3 linked regions of the Cricetulus griseus genome follow. The protein of the gene in region 3 interacts with the protein of the main gene of each other region in a pairwise test. Links are inferred from orthologs where the notes say so. Each region holds a gene or a part of one and is shown on either strand. Other genes may lie near its edges.

Region 1 (5,042 bases), on a different chromosome or scaffold from region 3:
TGCAAAGATCAGGAAGTAAAAGGAAAGCAAGTAAGTTAATTTGGTACATTGTTTCAGATACAGTAACAAATACATAACTTATACAAGTTAGTAAGCAGAAATCCAAACTGCAGTGATTCTGCAACTGGGCCTTATGATCTTAGTAGGCCCTAAGACCTTAGTACAACTGACTGACTCCACGATGGAAGTGCCATTAAGGCTGTAAAACTCCACCTGCCAAAACTAAAACAAAAGCCTAATCCAAATCCATAGCTCTGAGGCAGTTTCTAAATGTACTAACCTTGCTTTTTAGCTTTTATAGTTCTGCTTGGTTAGATGTTATGTTAACTGGAGTGGGTCAAATCATGACAGGATTTTTGTGCTTATAAGCTCACCCTGAGAAAGGCTTAGGGCTACACTGGGATCCCGAACACTCAGTTGGTTGCTGGCTGGCTAATAAAGTTTTTCTATTGGCTTTTAACCTATGTCTGAACACTCTTCTCTGGTGAACGCCCCACAACAATTCTGCTCATTAAGTTCTTTTCTTTTTTCAAGACAGTTTCCTGGAACTCACTCTGTAGACCAGATTGGCCTTGACTCATTGATATCTGCCTGCCTCTGCCTCCCAAGTGCTGGGATTAAAGGCCTAGAAGCTCATTAAGGTTTTTTTATTTTTTTATTTTTGGTTTTTTGAGACAGGGTTTCTCTGTGTAGCTTGTGCTGGCCTCCAACTCACAGAGATTCGCCTGCCTCTGCCTCCAGAGTGTTAGGATAAAGAGTGAGGTGAACCTTGGCAGGTTTCATGGCGGGCGAGGTTGACCGAGGCCAAGGGACAAACATTCCAGGCAGACAGCTTAAATGAAGTTTTATTAGGAAGAGGCAGGCCAGCATAATGCCTGATCCTTACACCCAGTGCTGGGATTAAGGGCATGAGTCACCACCGCCTGGCAGTACACAACATAAAGATGGTAAAACTTGTATTAATAATTCTAAATTTTCCTTACTTATGGGGAAAACATAGTCTAGGCTGGCCTGGCAATCCTCCTTCAGACTCTCCAGTTCTGCGATTTGCCACAGTTCTCAGCTATTTGTCACTTTCGTTTTGAACAGGACCCTGCAATTTAAGTTTGCACTGGTCCTGAATGTGACAGTCTGAGATGCCTGTCTTAGAGCTTACAGCGAATGCACTGGCTGCTTGCAAGTACAGCAAGACCTTACTTTTAAGGCGTGTCCAATCATAAATGATAACAACTGTTGACTAAGGGCAAGCAGATCTGCTGGCTTGCTTGTCATACAATACAAAGGTGCAGCATGGAAAATAACTCAAAGCAGCTCACTACTGAAAAGAAAGTACTGTAGGGCTAAAAACTGTTTAGCCCTACACTGTTGAGTCAACTCAGGATCTGAAGGAGGAAGCCCATGCCTGCTGGAAGCTAACTCCTGAAGGGTGGGGTGCCCAAAGCACCTGGCACCCTTCCTCTGAGGGGGAACTCCGCACACAGTGGGCTCGGCCCCACAACATGCGGACGCTCACCTGACCCGCAGTGTCTTCACGCCTGCAGGAATGCCTTCTTCCCTTCACCTACCCAAGTTCAACGTCCTGCTCCCTTCCGCCAGCTCAAAGCCTAGGGGCGAGCCCGGTACCGCCTCTCGCGGAGGCCCCGCCCACTCCACAGTCCACGCACATAGCCACGCCTAGCACGTAGCCGCGCTCTCGTACCCACCCGCCGCTAAGAGCTCACGCGAGATCTCGGCCTGCCCTAGTCGGCTGCTGCGAGCTGGAACGTTCTTTTGGTCGCGGTGGAGGAGGGAGACGGGTGTGTTTGCGTTGGGCGCTCGGGTCTGGCGCGATCGGTCGGTGCGGGACTCGGAGACCGCGCGCGGGCCCGGGCTCTTTGGGCGGCTGTCCGCGCGCAGTCGGCGCTGTTGTCGGGTGAGGCGCAGCGGGCCACGCGTGGCTCCCGGTCGCTATCGGTCGCTGCCGGAAGGTTTTAGAGTGTCCCGTCGGGGCATTGTGCTGGTGCTGCCTTCCTAGGTCGAGAAGACCGCACAGGTAGGACTGATTTCTAGATAGGTTCCTCGTGTGTACTTGGCCATTACCCTTAGAATTTTCTCCGCTCTATCGTTGGTGCAAACGGGCCAAGTATGTTACGTTGCAATTTTGATGGGCTAATACTAAAAAACAATGGGGAATGGAGAAATGGCTCTACAGCTAAGAGCACCAGCTGCTCTATCAGGGGACGTGGGTTCAATTCCTAGCAGCCACGTGGTAGTTCACAACCATTTGTAATGGGCTCTGGTTCCTATTTCTGGTATGGGTGAAACCAATGCACTATCCGTAAAATAAGTCCCCTTTTAAAGGAAAAAAGTTAATAACCCGGGAGGTGGTGGTGCATTTCTTTAATTACAGCACTCAGGAGGAAGGCGGATCTTGAGTTCGAGGCCCCGCCTGCCTCTACCTCCTGGGGTTAAAGGCGCGCACCACCACCTGGCCAGTTGCGGCCCCTTTAAAGCTGCCTTGTGGGTGCTGGGAATTTAATCTGTCCACTCAAGAGCAGTCAGTATTCTTAAAGCTAAGCCATCTCTTCAGCTGACTCACCCTAGAGGTTCTATTGTTGGGATTACAGGCCCATTGGCCATTCGGGAAATTGAGGCATACACACTGAGTGGCTAAAAATTCAGCCTTCCTAGGGTAAACATCCGAATTAATGCTGTTTCACTGTGTGGCTGGCTGGTAGTAAAGCCACTCAGGTACTTTTGTTAAGTAGAATTAGAAAACACTGATTTGGAAAGTGGTCTCTCCTTTGCTTTCACTTGTAGATTAGAATTGAATGTGTGGGTATCCAGGAAGCCAGAAACATGCCATGTTGAAGTTGTGAGCTACCCAATGTGAGTGCTGGGAACTGAACTGTGGAAGGTTACACTTTAACTGCTGTGCTCCTCACGTGGATATTTTTTTTTTTAAGACAAGGTTTTTCTATATTGAATTAGAGCCTGTCCTGAAACTAACCTGGAACTCACAGGTCTGCCTGCCTCTGCCTCCCAAATGGCTGGGATTAAAGGCGTGCACCACCAACAGCTGGCTCACTTGGATGTTTTTAAAGATCTAAAGTGGACTATCCTTAGGTCGATTTTACCTAAAGTCACATGGTGGTATGGTGTATGTTGAACTTTTCATTAGAATGCTAGGTGCATCACACTGAAATTGTAATTGCAGAGATCGAGTAATGGCTCAATCAGAAGTGACTTCTGTTGACTGCATGACACCTGATAGAGCTGCAGACATTGGACATCAAAGGTAAGGCAGCTTTTGTGACTAAACACCCTAGAGTTGAGTCTAACTGTTCAGATTGACAGGTCTCAGTAGGTGGCCTCATTCAAAGATGATCCTGCCTATTTCTCCCAAGAGCTGGAATTAAAGGCTTATCACCACACCCATTTGAAAATGTTGGGTATGATTTTGGGGGAGCTGGCTTTGGAAGAAATGTACACTTAAATTTTTAATGTCTTCTCTTATGTGACTTATGAGTGAGTGCTTTGCCTACAGTCAGTATCATGTGTTCAGAAGAGGGTGTTGAACTCCATGAAACTTGAGTTACTAATGACCATGCTGCCTGAGGGTACAGCCTTGCCACTCGTGAATTGGATTGTTTCTAGTAACGACTCAGTGATGCAGTTTATTTTATTTTATTTTTTTAGCGATGACTCATCTGATAGCTTATTTAAAACACAGTACGTTCTTTCACCTACACGAAAGCAAAGAAACCCTACGACAAAACGTGTCACTTTACCTGCAAATGTTGACACTGACACATCAAGTGACTCCTCTATAGAACCAAGGCTTTTGACTTTAAAGGCTATTTTTGAAAGATTTAAGAAAAAGAAACGGAAAAAAAGGAAATACAAGCCAAAATTAAGACCAAGAGGAAGACCACCTGGAATAAAAAATGCTAGAAACCCTAGAAGGTCACAGATAGGTGTGAAGCAAATTAAAAACAAAGGAGCTGTGTTTCCATTCTTAGAATCTGAAAATGGAAGAAAACCCTTACCTTGGAAGAAAATTTTAACATATGAGGTGAGTCATTCTCATGTAAGTGAATACACTAGGAAATTGGAATGATTGTTGCCCCCATCTTTTCTTCCTGGTTTTTCCAGACATAGTTTCTCTGGGTTTGGGTGTTGTTGGCCATTTTTAATTTGAGGTCCACCTGGGACACATTTTGTTACTTTGACAATAAACAATGTGTTCTGTGTAAAGTCTGCTCAGGTTCCAGTGTTTCTGAGTGCACTGTTTTTAGTGTGTATACAAACTTAGAGAATAATGGTCCAAGTCTGTAAATGTACAAAATACCCTCATCTTAGTCTCTAAACTACTCTCAAGCATATCTTACCCAACTTTAAATTAAGTAGCCCATCAAACCAGTCATTTCAAAGTAAGCAGATGTTATTTCGTTCTTTTTATTTTTTATGTCATTTACTTTTTTGGGGGGGTGTTTCGATACAGGGTTTTCTGTGTAGCTTTGGAGCCTATCCTGGCACTCCTTTGGAGACCAGGGTGGCCTCGAACTCGCAGAAATCTGCCTGCCTCTGCCTCCCAAGTGCTGGGACTAAAGGCGTGCTCCACCAACGCCTGCCGCAGATATTTCTAAGGCCATTTTTAGAAGTACCCAGAACAGGCTGGAGAAAGCAACATAAAGGGTGCTGCTTGTTAGCTGGTCATGTGCATTGTTAACCCAGTTGCTCTTGACCCACAATCTAGGATACACAATAGTTATCAGTCCTGTTAGTTGATACCTTCTGGTAATCCAAATGAATTTAACCTGACTAAGGACAAGGACTGGAGCGATAGATACACAGCTCAACACTTAGCTGTTCTTCCAGAGTACCCAGGTTCAATGCCCAGCATCCTACATGGTCACTCAAAGCCATCTGTAACCCCAATGTTGCTGTCTCTTCTGGTCTCTGAGGTAACCTGGCACGAAGTAGTGCATTGGTATGCAAAACACCCATACATGGGAAAACCCAAGTACCCTGACACAGGTTTTTCAAATATTTGGGCATTA
Region 2 (5,251 bases), on a different chromosome or scaffold from region 3:
ACATCATGCTCAGCTCAACTTCATCATTTTTAAAACTTATCACTCACAGGAAGTCCCTACCTAATCTGTAAAGTCTTGACATCTCATGGGAAAGGAACCAGCTGTTTAATAATGAAAATGCTAACTATGAAGTGAGGCTTACTTAATGCTTATGGAGAGGGGTGAATTAAACAAAACTAAGGATAAGAAAAAAAAAACATGAAAAGCCACTACTTTGTTAACTAACTCAAAAAATATATAAAGTGGCCCCCAACATATCTTACAGTTGTATTACTCTGACAGAGGAGCTGAATTCCATTTTCAGCACCCATGATGGGTGGATTTACACCCACCTTTAACTCCAGCTTCAGGGAATTCAACACTCTTTTCTTTCTTCCACAGGCACCTGCACTTACATGTTCATGCCCGCACACAGACACACATGTACATGTACTTAAAAAATAAAATCTTAGAGACAGACAGACAGACAGACAGACAGACAGACAGACAGACAGACACACAAACACAGAGAGACCGGGGATTCTGAACATAGGTACCCTGTATGAGTGGATGTTTCCCTTAGAAGACATAGATTATGAAGTGAAAATCTCAGTGCCAGGTGTGGGAAAACTCCCTATGAGAGTTATAAGTCAGGGAGGCCCCCAGACAAGAAGCTTCACCATTGCCCATCATAACGGAAGCCCCATTGCTGATGACACACATTTTGGTTACCGGACACAGAGAAATCAAACTGAGTTGACATACAAAATTCCCGCCTTCTGGCCAGCTTTCACAGTGTCAGAAGGTTACGTAGGTTGTGTGAGGAGGAAAATTACTAATATTGACCAAAAAAGCAAGATAGTCCCACATCTGGTACAATAGTGATGTGAAGATTATGAGGTTAACCCACTGCTTTCTGACTGGACTTGAGGCCTGCTCCACAGAAGGGAATTCCTATCTGGTACTGTAAAGCTGAAAACCCGTGGCTGGCGAGGTCATAGGCCATGGGGGACAGGGAGACCTATTACTGTTGTTTTGCTAAGCAGACATGTGATTTTTAGGTTGTATCTATAATTAATACTATATCATGTAAATATTTAGGTTATATCTATAGATTCACACACTCTCAGCCTTGGTCATAGAGACTTCTTTTTACGGTGGCAGTAAATGTATCAACATAACTGGTCAAAGTGTGGAGAACAGGTAACTGCTGAGTGTTCAATCTTAAACAGAATATCTATTCCAACCTTCCCCCGCCTCTCCCCAAGTCTCCAAAGTTCAGGAACATTGTGGGAGATGGGGCAGAAAGGATGTAAAAGCATGGGAAGGGGAGGAGTGCTGTCAAATTCTGTCTTCTGGATATGGCACTCACGAATATACTCAAGTTATGGCTACCTGAACAAGACCTTTGAAAAGAGCAAGCCAATACCATTAGTCACCACTCCAGCAGCTACATCAACTAACTGGACTCAGTGAGTTACTGGATGTGGGAAGGGGCATGTTGGTGTGTGTGTGTGTGTGTGTGTGTGTGTGTGTGTGCTCGCGCTCGCGTGTGTATCTGCGGGATTTTGGGTAGGTATGATTACACTGTATGTGTATGAAACTGACAGAGAGTAAGTAAAAGACTTTTTAAAGGGGGGAAAAGGCTAAATGACAGCTCAGAAAAAAATGGCCGTCAACATTATGCTCCCCAGAGGCTACTTTATGAGTGACTGAAGTTTAAAGCTAAAGTATTAAAAGCTATTAGTATTTGCCAGGAATGGTCACCCATGTCTGCAATCCTAGCATGTGGGAAGTGGTGGCTGAAGGAGCATGAAGGAGTTCAAGATTGCCCTCAGCTACATATTGAGCTGGAGACCAGAATACCTCAACTTCCAACTCCAAAATTTTATGTTGACGTTTTGTTAAATGCTTTGGGTACTCATGAGCTTAATCAAACTAAGGGGAAACAATAAAGAATATGTAAGAAATGTGAACTTTTAGAAATTTAAAATATTTCACAAGGAAAAAAAATGACAAAATTTAAGCATACATGCAAAGAGTAAAAAACATAAGGAAACAACTTTAAAAGCTATTTGAGGTAATGCAGCAACCTACAGACTGTCAGACTCTGACACCCACTAGTTTTTGGTGTGTTTTTATTTTTGTGGTTACTTATTTATTTGAGATAGGGGATGATGTAGGCTTGGCAAGCCTGAAACTCCCTCTGGAGCTGAAGATGACCTTGAATTCTGATCCACCTGTTTTCATCTGCCAAAAGCTGGGGTGAAGGGTTCCAGCCCTCAAGAACACAAGTCTGATGTACCATATCCTTAGTCATGGGAACTATAAGGTCGTGCATTTTAAATGCTGGGAGATAGATTCTCAAAGTCTGCTCTTTCTCCCTGAAGGGAGGCACAATGCTCCCCTGGTTTCAGAACTTCGGTAAAGTTCCTTCAAACTTGTATGATTCATAAGAGTGGCAAAAGGCTAGAATCCCAGTTTTCTCACCCGTTCGTGAAGTGCTTTTCCTACTTATACCATCCAGCTCAAGGAACCATGGAGAGAGACAGTGAGGCAAGATGACAGTTCAGGCTCGCTAGCCCAAGAAGGTGGAAAGTAGGTTCTCTAAAGGTCTTGTTGCTTCCTCAAGCCAGTTTACTCCCGCGTGAGCTTGGCTTCCTTACCTGCATCTGACTTAAGAGCATCATGGCCCACCCACTTTAGTGTCAGGTCCTCGGAGGCTTGTTGCAAGCTAGGTAACCCACCGTCCCACCCTCCAGTTCAGCAAAGACGTGTCCATAACTTCAACCCCAGCTTGGCACTCACTCCCTTCCTCGGAGTTCCGTGACTCTACTACCGCTCACAGCCACTTAACTCCTTCCAATGCACAAACGTAGCATTTGGCACTGCAACCAACTCCTGCTCTTGTGGGCACTCTGGCTCCGCAGGGCCAGCCCGGCCCTCACTGCCCCTCCGTCCCTCGGCTCGGCAGTGCCGCTCCCTCACTGCCCCCTCCTCGATGCCACCCGCGTCCTTCTCAGCAAAGGCCGCCCCTCGGGCCCCGTGCCGCGCGGAGCCCCTTCCTCACCCGGCCATCACAGCCCCGATGAGGTACAGCAGCAACAGGCAGAAGGTGCTTAGGTTCTGCGGGGCCATGGTGTCGCCTGGTCCCGCACTCTCAGCCTCCCGTGCCGCTGCGTCTGCTGACCAGCCCTTCCGGCCCTGAGAGGCCGCCTCACGCCCGGGTCTCTTGCCGGGCCGCCGAGACAGCTAGCGCGCCCCCTCCTCAGCTGCCACTTTCCGGGAGCCCCAGAGCCGGCGAGCAGCCAGGCATGGGCCAATCGCCGCCGGGGACATCACACGCGGCCGCCACTCCGCAGCCAATCAGCGCGGTACACTTCACCTCCGAGGCGGCTCGGACAGCCAGTCAGACAACGGAACTGCCGCCGCTGCTGCCGGCCAATGGGAAGAGGAAACGTCAGAGGTTCGCGCCGCCCGGAAGTGCCTGCGAATAGGAGAAAATCTCAGGCGGAGGGGAGCGCGCTGCGAGGAAACCCGAGTGGTCCACCAATCGGGAGACTCCTTCCCAGCTCTGACCAATTGCTCGCAAGAGGTCTTAACTCGGTTTTCCAGTCTGGAAACTACGTCGCGTGCGCCCGGGACGCGCGGGATCCCTGAGGTGCAACCCCAGGAGGGTGGGCGATCACTCGGTGTCAGAGTACTTGGGGCGCCTTACCTAAGGATGCGATCTCACAGTACAAATTTAGTACATATAGTCTCGATTTCGTAGAAAAGAGGCCCGGTACCTTATAGAGAAGCCGCCGCGGAGACCGACTTAAGTTCAGATTCGGCTTCCAGCACTTCGCAGCGGTGAGACATCCCCACCCCCACCCCGCTTCCGAACCCGTTTTCGACAAAACTTAAGGCGTGGCGGCGTTCACTGGTAGTGTTGGGAATTTTTAATTGACATGTTTTCTGTAAGTTTTCCAGTAGAGTTGCACATAGTAAGCATGCAATCAATAAAAGCCGTTATTATAGTTCGGAGCAGAGCTTGTTCGTTGGTTCTTTTCTCCAGTTTTGTTAACTACAGAAAGCTAGTTGTTTAGCAAAGCCTCTCCTCTTAGCTTTGCTTCCTACATGAGCTATCTAGATCTTTACCAATGAACGGTATCTTGATTATGTCCAGTACAGCTCCATCTCTGGCCCAAGTCACAATTATCTCTTGCTTGCAAAGGTCTCTTAACGATCTTCTCCCTCCAAACTTTATATATCGATCCATTATTTTAATGTACTCCTACTCTCCACCCCATGATCGTGTGCATGCGTGAGCGCACTAGGGACCTGGAGACCACAGATTAGACTAGGCAGGTGGACTTGGAAGACCAAGGTCCTGTCTCTGTCTCCCCAGCTCTGGGGTTTCAGGCGGTTGTTGCCGCAGTTGCTGCTATGCGTGGAATTCAAGGTCTCCTGTTTATACAGCAAGTAAGTGGCAAGCTTTATGGACTGAACTATCTCCCCAGCGTCCTCGTGATTTTTAAAAAGTATTTCAGATCATGTCACTCTCCTGCTTAAAAGCCTCTAATGGCTTTTCAATGTACTAAAAGTAAAATGTCAACTCTATTGTAACTTACAAAGCTGTCTAGTTTAACAATCAGTATCCTCACCTCTTAAAATGTTCCAGAATAATCAGCTTCCTTCCTCCTTTTAAAAAATTTTCATTGTATATATTCATTGCATACGGCACTTTCTTGCATCAGCAAATTATGTACACGGAGCATATTCCTCCTCTTACCATATACCCTCCTACCTTTTTCTCTCTGTTCTGTTATCCCCTTCGTTTCTCTACAGTTCTGCCTCTACTTTCATGCCATATATATATATACGTATGTAATTTTAAGTACCTATATAAAATCTAGGAACCAAAACGAAAGAAAACATGTATCTGTCTCTCTGAGATTGGCTTAATTCCCTTAAGATGAATATTTCCAGCTGTATCCATTTTCCTGTAGACAGCATAACTGTATTCTTTATGTTGGAAAAAAGATCATTGTGTACATAAACTAAACTAGGTTAGTTCTGTAACTTAGCTATTGTGAATAGTGCTGGAACAAATATGGATGTTTTATCAAAACCTTTTTCTGCATTAATGAAAAAAGGCTTATTTTTCTGTGCATGGGTTCTTTGCCTGCATGTAAGCCAGTGCATGCCCGTTGCTCAAGGAGGCCAAAAGAGGTTGGAGGATCCCCTGGAACTGGAGTTGCAGATGGATGTGAGCAGCCATTTTGGTGCT
Region 3 (4,987 bases):
TTTCAATCGCTTCTCTCCTAGAATTTTTGGGTTTCGCCTGAGTCTCCTAGTCTATTAAAGCTGACAGAGTGACAGTTTCTTACCTTGAGGCTTGGGCTTGGTGAGTTTGCCACAGGGCTTGGAGATGGTGACTGTCTTCTGGCAGTCAGCATTGTGAAGAGCTCGTTTCAGACTTCCAGTCCTGGTCTTCAAGGCAGTATTCAGGTCACATTCTCCCCAAGCCTGGAACTGGTATTTGCACTCAGCTAAAAAGCATAACAAATTGGAAGAACAATGCTTATGAGAGCTTATTGTAGTGATAATAAGGGCACAATTTTGATGTTACATTTTTGTATTTAAGCCATCACATATTCCTATGCAGTTATAAGAATAACACGGGGGCATTCCATACATGCTTCCCCCAATTTCCCCAATTTTGGCATCTTGAACAACTGTGGGCCTATCTTATAAAATGGAAATTATGAATTCCAAGAGTGGAGTCAGATTTCAGTTTTATATGCATGAACGCATATAGTTCTGTGTATATGCATGGACATGTATAGTTCTAGCCATGTGAATGCATGTAATCAGCACCATTAATGTACATATCATCCCAATGCCAGGGTCCCATTGTCACCTTACATACAGTCACAGCCTTCCTACCTCTTAAGTTACCTACAACCACAAATCTTCTTCAGCTCAATTCATTCTATAAATGAGATTTTAAACTATGTAAACTTTTGTGATTGGCTACTCTCGTGCCCACAGAAATTAGGAGATGGTGTATGATCCTCTTGAACTGGAATGATGGGTGTGAGGAACCTAACCCAGGTCCACTGCACGAAAAGCAGGTGTTCCTAACAACTGAGCCATCTCTATGGCTCTGAGACTGGCTACTTCCTTACTTACCATAAATTTGTGACTATCAACTCACGTTGTGTAAATCAATATTGTATGTTTTTGTACAACTGAGTAACCATCCACGATATAGATATCCCAAACTTTATTTATCCATCGCCAACTAAAAGATGCCTGTATTGCTTTATTTTGGCTAATTTATATACATACAAATGCAAATTCTATTTATTCATATAAGGTGTTCTGTGAAAACATTTTATTTTCTCTGGAAGAAAAACGCCCAAGAAACTGCTGAGTTACATGGTAAGGTCAACTCATGTTTAATTTCATACAAACATAAAACAAGCAACCTCTCCAAAAAGTAGTATCTTTTTTAGTATTGCTGTGCCATTTTCTATTTCTACTGACAGTAACTACATAACCTAGTGTCTCTGCATCTTCACTGCCAGGGGTATCATAATGTTTTTATTCCAGGCATTCTGATGGGTACATAGCAACATGTCACCAGGGTTTCAATCTCTCTTCCCTTAATGGGACAGAGAAATTGAGTATCTTTCCAGGTGTCTATTTATTATTATCTATTCTCCTCATAAATTATGTCTGTTGGTATTTATTCACTATCTTCCTGGATTGTTAGGGTTGTATGTTTGCTTGTTTGTTTTGATTCTATATTGATTCTTGAGATTTTTATACATGTTCATGACAGGAGTCCTTTAAGAAACTTTTGTTTTTTTGGTTTTTCGAGACAAGGTTTCTCTGTGTAGCTTTGGAGCCTATCCTGGCACTCACTCTGGAGACCAGGCTGGCCTCAAACTCACAGCGATCAGTCTGCCTCTACCTCCCATGTGCTGGGATCAAAGGCTTGTGCCACCAATGCCCTGCCTCACAAACTTTTTTTAAGTGAGTCTTAACCATACCCCATACTATTTAAAGTCTAATTTATATGACTCTGTTGTCATTTTGGCTATCAAATGACATTTTCTCAGTTTTCCTGGCTGGTAGAGTAGGTTGTATTAAAATATGGTTGAAAATATAATGGTAGATGACAAGGATGTTACTAATTACCCTAAAATGTACAAGACAAAAACAACAAAAATCCAGCCCCTGATATCACTAGTGCTGAATCTAAGAGGAAAGCTGGCTGGTCACCGTGTGTCTAAGAAAATATATTTATTTAATTTAATATAAACATGAGTTGGCTTTGAAAATGAATTTGATAGAATTGTTCCAAAAGTATTTCAGAATAGTAGATTAAAGCAATAAGAACACAGGGTGAGACTGACCTCCAAACTGCTTCTTCCAGTTGCAAGGGATCTTACATCTCTGGGTCTTCATGGTTTGCTTGCACTCAGCACCAGTGCGAGTGCCCTCCCGGGTGCCCAGTCCACAGTCCCCGCTGGTGGGCACACACACACTCCACTGCCATTCTCCACAGTCAGATTTTTTCACCTTTTTTTCTGCAAGGGAGGAAACAAAAAGCAACCACCGTCCAGAAATGTACTGAACTCTTGAATATGGCTAAGTTCACACCTCAGAACCTCGATTGTGGAGTCTATGACTTTTATCTCTATCTGTATTGTCCAGGAAGACAGTGGGATGTCTTCTCAATGATCCAGTCAATGCATGGTTAAGAGGAGAAAGAAAGAAAACATGGGGGCAGAGACGGAACTAATACTACTAAGTCATGTGTGTGATAGAGACTGTTCTACGTGAATCACTAATATTTCCTTTTAGAAAGATGTTTCTGAATGAAGGCGTTGTCCCTCTGCCTGCTCCCTGACCACCACAATATGAGCTATTCTGCCACGCGTGCCTGCAGTGACGGGCCCACACCTCTGAAACCCTAAGTGAAATAAAGCCATCTTCCTCTTAAATTCACTCCTCAAGTGTCTGAATGCAGCAACAAACAGCTAACACACTTGTGCCAGATGAAATTTGAAGATTTGTGTATCTTTGATGAAACATTTGAGAGTGTAAAATTTTACAAAAAGAAGGAAATATTTTTCATTTTTATTTTGTTTTGTTTTGTTGTTGTTGTTTGAGATGGGGTTTCTCTGTATTGCTTTGGAGACTCTTCTGGAACTCACTCTGTAAATCAAGCTGGACTCACAGAGATTCACCCGCCTCTGCCTCCTGAGTGCTGGGATTAAAGGCGTGTGCCACCAATGCCTGGCTAAGAAGGAAATATTTCTGTCAAAATAAAAAATTCTAAGTAGTTTATAAAAAGCTTGAAAAATGAGGAGGGAATGTCTATTAGAAGTAGTAGTGGTCAGACTAAAAATTTCATTGAAAATTGATGGTGTGGTTCTGTTCTGTGGGTAAAAAGGCATAATAGAAATGTGTATAGGACACAGACTAAAAGAGACCCCCAACACCACAGCCCACTCATGACTATCCAAGGGCATGTTCATTCGGGAGCAAAATGGGGCAATTTAGGGTTTCCCTAAATAATTGAAAGGATGTTAGAAACTGTGGGAGAACTATAAGCAGGTAGCTGGGCTGCCTGGGTACCATCCAAGGAAACATCTCTCTGTGACTCCACTGCTTACCGGGTTTCTCTTTCTTCCCAGCCTCAGCAGTGTCCACAGCTGCCAAGATGAAAATGAATGCCAAGAAAGCAGCTGCAAATTTTCGACGTTGCTGCTGGTACTGTTGGGATGACATTTCTGGAAATGAAGAGAACAAGAAGAAGGTGATTTCAACCTAAGTCAGGATGAAGATTCAACTCTCTGATGAAGCATGCTATGTGAAGCTTCTGGAACACTGGGTTTTAGGAAAACTGTATTGATTATTACAAAGTGTAATTTTATCCTTTCTCACCAACAGCTGCAAAAGCAGTAAATCACGTGGTCATGGGCAGAATTTAATCATTCTTCGTATCAGATTTCACAGCCATTTGTTATGTGTGACTCTGGGGTTGTGAAAGCAAGAGAACCACGTGGCATGATTTTGAGCAGATTCCTACAATCAATCCTGTTGCTTGCATCACTTGCTAATAACAACTACAGTCATCTTCAGGATGCCTGGAAGTTCCTAGAAACATTCATGGTGTTGCAGTCACAGTAATCTTCGGTACAGCCGTGACAAATGATAGTGTACAGTAGCTTGTGTGTACTGACTGTGTTTTTTATATTTAGGCATATCTACCAATGAGCAGCATTTCTGATTCTTATTTACCCATGTTCATTTTAAACATAGTATCATCCCATTGCTCATTAGAGTGAAACACAGAAATATAGAGCTGGCATGCTATAACACTAAGAATTCATAAATGGATTTTACTCAAGAACCACTAAATCCTCAGATCTGGAGAGCAGTGACTATACATGCTCAGAAATTGAAATACTGCTCATCTCACATAAGTCAAAATCCCTAGAAAACCCTAGGAAGATCCCTGTTATACTCAAAGATGCTGTGATAACCCTCCATCAAGATATTCACCTTGCCTAAGCTGCTCTGAAAAAGCCACTGATTGCAGAAACGTGGTTGATGGTCATTTACCTCCATCTGCTGTGTTAATGGTGTTGTATAGATCACACAAAAGTGTGCAAATAATCTTTGGTTATTATTAGTGTGAGCTGTATTCCTTTTTTCCAAAACTTGCAATAGATTAGCTTTTAATGATTTTACAATTTCTTTAGTAAATAATGAGACTACTCCTGTGTGTGTACTCATGTGTGCCTGGGGGTATAATATGTGTGTGTGAGTATGCACATGTATGTGCATGGGTATGCACATGTGTGTGCTGTGCTCCCTCTATTATGCATCTTGTTTTCCTAATTCATAAGTATCTAAAATATGATACCATGGTTACTAACTAATCTTGTATCAACTTCCACAATGTTAGAATTGTCACTTATTGGAGTTGTGTTTTGTTTTTCTATCAATGACTGGATTCTATAGTATGATTAAACATATTTTACCAACAAACTAAAATTAACATTTTTACCACTTTGCCCTTTAAAACATGAACCCTGCTTAATCAACACCAGTTCCATCCCCGGCAACAGTCCAGTATTAGAAGCTTTGCTCTCCCTAAAGCTGCATTCTTAGGACAGTCTCACTGAATTGCTCCATGCAAATCAGGTAGGTGACTCCTCCTCATCTTGTGATTAGAGGTAGGAAGCCAGCCTGGACTCGATGACTTGCA

Evidence for each region. The genes of interacting proteins can lie anywhere in the genome.
Region 1: the proteins of Ptn (region 3) and Taf1d interact in a two-hybrid assay, tested with the Homo sapiens proteins (2 studies listed by BioGRID and IntAct). The link is inferred for Cricetulus griseus from reciprocal best matches to the Homo sapiens genes PTN and TAF1D.
Region 2: the proteins of Ptn (region 3) and Dnajb11 interact in a two-hybrid assay, tested with the Homo sapiens proteins (2 studies listed by BioGRID and IntAct). The link is inferred for Cricetulus griseus from reciprocal best matches to the Homo sapiens genes PTN and DNAJB11.

What each region holds. Positions count from the first base shown.
Region 1 is NC_048597.1:128,814,289-128,819,330, forward strand, and holds the start of Taf1d (TATA box-binding protein-associated factor RNA polymerase I subunit D), read left to right. Parts: upstream 1-1,742; 5' UTR 1,743-2,032; intron 2,033-3,196; 5' UTR 3,197-3,206; coding exon 3,207-3,277; intron 3,278-3,678; coding exon 3,679-4,054; intron 4,055-5,042. UniProt on the Homo sapiens protein: Component of the transcription factor SL1/TIF-IB complex, which is involved in the assembly of the PIC (preinitiation complex) during RNA polymerase I-dependent transcription.
Region 2 is NC_048597.1:65,997,257-66,002,507, forward strand, and holds the start of Dnajb11 (dnaJ homolog subfamily B member 11), read right to left. Parts: upstream 3,301-5,251; 5' UTR 3,118-3,300; coding exon 3,050-3,117; intron 1-3,049. UniProt on the Homo sapiens protein: As a co-chaperone for HSPA5 it is required for proper folding, trafficking or degradation of proteins.
Region 3 is NW_023276806.1:191,420,634-191,425,620, reverse strand, and holds the start of Ptn (pleiotrophin), read right to left. Parts: upstream 3,502-4,987; coding exon 3,387-3,501; intron 2,295-3,386; coding exon 2,121-2,294; intron 246-2,120; coding exon 84-245; intron 1-83.